Linked DNA regions of Saccharomyces cerevisiae S288C. The gene in region 1 interacts genetically with each later gene. Each region holds a gene or a part of one and is shown in the gene's direction. Other genes may lie near its edges. The genes, in order: YKL183C-A and LAP2.

Region 1 (2,723 bases):
ATTCAAAGAGCATATAAGAATATATTTGACCTTGAATTGTATGGAAAAAAAGAATTAATAAATTGAAAAAGGAAGAAAGAAAATTCGTTTAAAAAAGTTGTTTGTTCTTCTTTGTAATGTAAGTGATAACAAGTATGAAAAGGCCCAATGTACTTTTTTATATTTTTCCCTTGGTTCTTTTTCCTTATCAATCAATACCTTTTTTTTTCTTATATTTTTAGTTTTCCCCTATAACTTTGTTGAAAGCCGTTTATATATATAGATAATGATATATATACCCAGTTTTAGTTGGTCCTGCAGAATAGAAGGAAAAAGGAAAAGTGTTTGGAGAAGATGGTTCAATCGATAAAAAGTATGCCAAAAATGCCAAAATGCCGACTGTAATCTCTGATTATTGTCGCAGTGAATCGTTCAACACTTTTCGGTGATTGGGAAAGGCACACTTACTGTCAGACCAAAAGCGTTAAATAGCAACAACGTATTGTTCGCGATTATTTGTATTTTTCAACAATTTCTTTTAACTTGTGCGACGGAAAGATCGCTGTTGCGTAATTATGCTTGGCTGGGCGGCATGTGAAGTTTTTGGCCGTCGTTTGTTGGAGGCCAGGGGAGTAGTGAACCGTGCCTGCACCTCGTGTATCGTGATGCGGAGCAGACGCTGCTATAACCCGGCCTCCGAGGAGCCGTGGGTGCACGGGCATGGAAGGCTGATGCGGACCTTCTACGGGTTTTTTCACATGCTGCCGTTTGCTGAAACATCTTAACTAAGCCTTCGCGCGGCCATACGGGCCCTCAAGACATTCATTACTTGGTATAGAAAGGTATATACGAAGGCAAATAGCCATATTCGTAGAGGACGAGACCGCATAGTACAGCGGGATGTTCCCATAATAGATGTTGTTCATTCATTGTCTCTGGAGTTCTTTCTGCCAGCAAGATTTTGATTTGCGTAGAACTCCATAGACATACTTGCTTCTGGACCACCCCTAGAGACCACGTTGTCCATAACGAGGTCGCCATCCAGATCGTCTGCCAGCCCGTCGTTCTGATACACGGGCGGCCCGTGAAGGGTGTCTCCAAGCCCAGAATACGTGGCGTTGAGATCTTGCGCACCCTCAAACGCCATGCTTGGATCTTGGTATTGTTCCTGGTCTTGATCTTGTACGTCCTCACCGTGCAGGTCCATGCATACGGCTAGTGCTTCGTTACAATTGTTTACCAGGTCATCGCCCCTGTTCACGCCGAAGTTTTCGAAGGTGAAAAGGGTTTCGATTTCGTTGTTATAATGGCGATCGTATATTGAATATTTGGGCCTGATAGTCAATTCCACGCTGCGCACGGTGAAGGCATGTGCTTCTTCGCCGTCGAATTCGCAGGCCTGTGGCGCGAGGCTTTGGTAGAGCATGTCCAACACTTCGTCTCTTTCCAAAGTCAGCAAAATTTCTAATTGAAGCCCTTCCCTACCATCTGGTAGCCGTCTTGATGCATGGTACAAAACGCTGCTGTAGGGAATTTCCAGCCCATATCCCAAGCCATTGAACCAAATGATAATGCAGCTGTTGAGTATAAACAGGTCTGTGCCATACTCACTGGTGTCTTGTGGGTTGGCTTGATTGGACAAATGAGAGCTCGAACAAGGTGTCAGGGAGCCTAGTATCAGGTCCCGACCTCCGCCAAAGAGTATTATGTATTCTTCATTATTCAGTGCAGAAAAGTTGCCGTTGAATCGCGGCTGCGTCTTCTTGAATTGGTTATATGGTATGACGTTTTCGACCGATGGTTTGGTCCTTGCAATTTGGCACTTTGGTTTTTTTTTCATCATTTTTCTTTTTATTTTATGGTTGATGCTTCTTTTGAAATAAATATTCGTCTATCACTGTAGCTATGGTCTATCTTGGCCTGTGTTGAAGTATGGTGAACAATCCGAAGTAATGGATGTATTCAAAGATCTTGCTATACCGTAGTAACGTTCTGTTCATGAACTTTTTCTCTGTTTTTGTATGTACAATTGGTACTTTATTTTTGGTTTTCGCAGATGTCTATGTTCTTGCGTCGGCATTTTTCCAAAGTAAAAAGGAAAAAGAGACAAAGTTTAAGCATTTACACTACCAAAAAAGATCTTGTTTCTTTCTAGCAAATATACACTAAACATAAAAAAAAATTATAAAAAATTGTAAAAAAAATATAAAAAAATACTTTTGTGTACAATGGCGTACAGTGGTGGACAGGAAAAATGCCAGAATTTTCTTGAATCATCATTCTCTGACTCTTAAATAGCGTGTATAACTCGTTCATGAACACTCAAATTCTTAGTGACAATGGTTGCATTCAGCCTTTTCCCACCCCCTCCGTCTCTCTTGCGAAAGTCGTGGTTAAATATATCCTTCAATCGAGTTCAGAGTCTATGTATACTATATCCGCAGTCTGCTCAAAGCCGTTGAATTGAGTAGCCGCCGATGATGTGTAGGCACCCAGGGCAGGAAAATAAAACCAATCACCGACTATAACATCATGCTTCATGTAATACTCTTTGGCAATACAATCCAAACCATCACATGTGGGTCCCCAGATGGAAACTTTATATGGATACTCAGATCTTGTTTTGTTGATAGAGTCGAGGACCGCAGTAGTGGATTCAAAATCGTCGTAATGAAATTCCAAATTATGATAAAGGGTTCTTGGATGGGGCTCTTGATGATCGAATAAAATACAATTCATGTTCC
Region 2 (4,525 bases), on another chromosome or scaffold:
AGCTCTTTGTTACAGGAATTTTTAAAATCAGATTGCAAAGCCTTAATTTCTTTAATCTTGACTAGTAAATCTCTTCTCAAATCCTCTAGCCTGGGTATAATTTCACTGGTCAACTCCTTGGAACTTTTCGATGCCAAAGAGGCCAGATTATCATGATACTTGGTCAGCATCGTGGGCAAATCTTGAACGGATCCACTTCCTAAGGGCAGAAAAAATTTCTGCATGGACTTGTCTTCATTAGAGACCGGTTGATATTGGTTTTCAATGCTGAAAAAGGGGAACTGCACAGCATGGGACAACCTCAGTTGCTGTCTAACTATTTCGTCCTGTATTGAGGCGGTCTCAGAGAGATATACCAAGATGGCACGAATAACATTTCTCCAGGCAGAAAACCTAGCAGACAAGACATCAGTGGGCTGCGCAGAAGTCGGTATCAGTATCGCCAGAGGGGACCTAGGATCGTTTTGGTTAGAATCATACTGCTTCTGGTGGCTATGTAAAGACATTTTTGGCAGCGTTAGCATGGAAGGGTCAGTGAAGGAACCAACATTATTGATATTGTTATTATTAATATTATTATTTTGTGATGATGGAATATTATTAGAGTTCAAAGAGTGCGTCGTATTGGTGCCAGCCGCAGCATCGACTATCGAATTTTGCCGATCGTGATCATATACGTTCAACTGAGCCGGGATAGTGGGATCGGAAGTCACAGCGTCGATAGGGTAAGGTATAGGATTGCGTTGCGCAAGCGACGAGGGTAGTGACAGGGGTATGTTCTGGCCTTTTTGTTGCTGCTGTTGATAGGCGGGATTAAAATGTTCTGACCTCATTCTGCCTTCCAGTTGTTGATATTGACTTCTGAGGTCAAGAGAGGCTCTTGCACTGTTCCGTTGGTAAGACATGGTGCAATGGACGGCTGGGTAAAGCGTATAACGCTCTCCTAAACCTTTGCTTGCGCGGTCATCTTCTCATGTAGTAGGTTGCATCGCCTTTTGATTAAAGAATGCGGCATGACCCGGAAAAAAGAGGCAGGTATTGGCTAATGACTACTACCATTATGAGTTTTTACCAGTATCAGCGCCATCATTAGGAGGATATATTAGCATTGGTGGACGTAAGAGCTCCTAAATATACAAGCATCGCCGTGATGTGTTATATATTGCAGCTTTATCTTGCTGGAGTGTCTACCGTATTTACTTCTACTTTTGGCATTTTTTTCGCCAATGCTGGCTCGAACAAGAAACTGCCTGCCATTTGAATTATTCATATATAAATACACTAATCATACGTGAGCATAGTGTGACAATTTCGGCGCAAGATATTAATGGAGCACGTATCAAAGAGGTCAATTGGGCAATTCTTTAAGAGGAAAACTTCAACTGTAGATGGAAGCAAATCACAGAAATGCGGAACCACTAACCAACTGCGGAAGCTGCTGCATAAAAGAAGGGTACAGAAGCAGGCAGTGCCGGTTGAATCCCAGTACAGAATTCCGGGTGATTTTAGGGATAATCAAAGCGTGAGAGTCAAAAACTCTATGTACAACAGCTCACCGTCAGTAACGCCATCTACGCATCATATCAATGAAAGGTATGTTCGCTATGACATCAACACAAGGCCTTTGGTTGTTGTGCTCGCGATCTCAATTGTATTTTTTGGCTGTCTCCTGGTCCTCAAGGACATCATCATCCAGTCATCAGAAAACATCCTGAGTGTTTCCAAATGGAAAATCATAGGGGCCTCCTTCATGGGTACGCCCTACACAGGTCTTCTCACGGGGCTCGTTGGCCCTCTCCTGTCACCATTTTCGGCTGTTTCGTCGTGGCTTTCATTCATCTTTTGACACAATGCGTCTTCAGTTTCCGGGGGCATTGCGTATGGAAAATCATGTCACTTTTTTTCTTCCACTTTTTCGTTTGACTTATATAAACGCACTTTAGTATAGTTTGCTTTATGTATTAGGTTATCTTGGTGTTCTAATTGATGTTCTTGCTTCCATTTGTCATTCGTCATTCCAGCTCTATTTACCTGCCCACGCTTCGATTTCGAGGTTTACTTACTGTAATCTCAAGAAACATACACATTTCCACCCCTCATAAAATGTTGCCTCTTTCAATTGAGCAGAGAAGACCTTCCCGCTCCCCCGAATACGATCAGTCTACTTTATCAAATTATAAGGACTTCGCAGTTCTTCACACCGATTTAAACCTGTCTGTTTCCTTCGAAAAGTCAGCCATTTCAGGGAGCGTTACATTCCAATTGAAAAAACTGCACGAAGGTAAAAATAAATCGGATGAATTACATCTGGATACATCCTATTTGGATGTCCAGGAGGTTCATATTGATGGTTCCAAGGCAGATTTTCAAATTGAGCAAAGAAAGGAGCCATTGGGCTCCAGGTTAGTCATCAATAACGCTTCTTGCAACGATAACTTTACCTTGAATATTCAATTTCGTACGACTGACAAGTGCACCGCTTTGCAATGGTTGAACAGCAAGCAAACCAAGGGCGGTAAACCGTACGTGTTTTCACAGTTGGAAGCTATTCATGCGAGGTCTTTGTTCCCCTGCTTTGATACTCCCTCTGTGAAGTCTACTTTCACTGCATCTATCGAGTCCCCACTACCAGTGGTTTTTTCAGGCATCAGGATTGAAGATACAAGCAAGGATACTAATATTTACAGATTTGAACAGAAAGTCCCTATCCCAGCCTACCTGATCGGTATTGCTTCCGGTGATTTGTCAAGCGCTCCAATTGGACCTCGTTCCACAGTTTACACTGAACCATTTCGTTTGAAAGATTGTCAATGGGAATTTGAAAACGATGTAGAGAAATTCATTCAAACTGCAGAGAAAATTATCTTTGAATACGAGTGGGGCACTTATGATATCTTAGTTAACGTCGATTCGTACCCTTACGGCGGTATGGAGTCTCCGAATATGACTTTTGCTACGCCCACCTTGATTGCACATGACAGATCCAACATTGATGTCATCGCCCATGAACTTGCTCACTCATGGTCTGGTAACTTAGTGACCAATTGTTCGTGGAATCATTTTTGGTTGAATGAAGGTTGGACCGTTTACTTAGAAAGAAGAATTATTGGTGCCATTCATGGCGAACCAACTAGACATTTCAGTGCTCTGATTGGTTGGAGCGATTTGCAGAATTCTATTGATTCTATGAAAGATCCTGAAAGATTTTCCACTTTGGTACAAAACTTGAACGATAACACTGACCCTGACGATGCCTTTTCCACTGTTCCGTACGAAAAGGGGTTCAACTTACTATTTCACTTGGAAACTATTTTGGGTGGTAAGGCTGAATTTGATCCATTTATTAGACACTATTTCAAGAAGTTTGCCAAAAAATCATTGGATACTTTCCAGTTTTTGGATACTTTGTATGAGTTCTATCCCGAAAAGAAAGAAATTTTGGATTCCGTTGACTGGGAAACTTGGCTGTATAAACCAGGTATGCCACCAAGGCCTCATTTTATTACGGCTTTGGCTGATAATGTTTATCAATTGGCTGACAAGTGGGTCGAAATGGCTCAACATTTGAAAACCACAGAGGATTTCCGGTCTGAATTTAACGCTATTGACATTAAGGATTTTAATTCAAATCAATTGGTTTTGTTCTTGGAAACTTTGACACAAAATGGCCATTCCAACAAGAAACCAAAAGATTTTGACTGGGCCAAGTTTCCCGTGGCATCTAGGGCACTGTTAGATATCTATCAAGATAACATTGTTAAATCACAGAACGCGGAAGTTGTTTTCAAGATGTTCAAATTTCAGATCTTTGCCAAGCTGCAAGAAGAATATAAGCATTTGGCCGATTGGTTGGGAACTGTAGGTAGAATGAAGTTTGTCCGTCCCGGTTACAGACTATTAAACTCTGTAGACCGTCGATTGGCACTTGCAACTTTCGACAAATTCAAGGACACGTATCATCCAATCTGTAAAGCTCTTGTGAAACAAGATTTAGGTCTTTGAAAAGGGACGTGTCGTAACATGAATACGTAAACAATTAAATATAACCTACTAATGAGCCTTCATTGCTACTTCTCTGGTTCTAATTAGTGGCGGAGTTCTGTGTCGTGCGATACGAATTTTGCACTTTTGTCACATGCAATCGAGGCAAAAAGAAAAAATAAATAATAACAACGAATATAAATACAAATCGAAAGAATTCAGATTGAATTCAATATTGCAGGGCTTTGAACACTGAGTTTGGAACTATCAGCCGTCAAATACGCATAAAATAACATCAAATACTCCAATAATGAATCAGTTAGGAGCTTTAGCCGTAAGTTCTAAATTGTAAACACATTTGCATCATTGAAAAACTATACTAACGCGTTAACCTTTTTTCTATATTTCTATAGCAAGTTTCACGTTTCACTCAAAACTTCTCCATGGAAAATATTAAGAGCGAGTTCCAATCCTTGCAATCTAAATTAGCAACCCTTCGCACCCCGCAAGAATTTTTCAATTTCAAGAAAATTTCCAAACCTCA

What was found.
Region 2: mutations in YKL183C-A (region 1) and LAP2 together harm fitness more than expected from each alone (negative genetic interaction), as found in Saccharomyces cerevisiae (one large-scale study listed by BioGRID).

What each region holds. Positions count from the first base shown.
Region 1 is NC_001143.9:97,820-100,542, reverse strand, and holds YKL183C-A (uncharacterized protein), read left to right. Parts: upstream 1-1,935; coding exon 1,936-2,148; downstream 2,149-2,723. Other genes in the region: LOT5 (Lot5p), read right to left, coding at 902-1,822; ornithine decarboxylase SPE1, read right to left, coding at 2,386-2,723.
Region 2 is NC_001146.8:540,977-545,501, forward strand, and holds LAP2 (bifunctional aminopeptidase/epoxide hydrolase), read left to right. Parts: upstream 1-1,986; coding exon 1,987-4,002; downstream 4,003-4,525. Other genes in the region: SLM2 (phosphatidylinositol 4,5-bisphosphate-binding protein), read right to left, coding at 1-905; YNL046W (uncharacterized protein), read left to right, coding at 1,328-1,846; YIP3 (Yip3p), read left to right, coding at 4,292-4,315, 4,395-4,525. UniProt on the Saccharomyces cerevisiae protein: Aminopeptidase that preferentially cleaves di- and tripeptides. Also has low epoxide hydrolase activity (in vitro).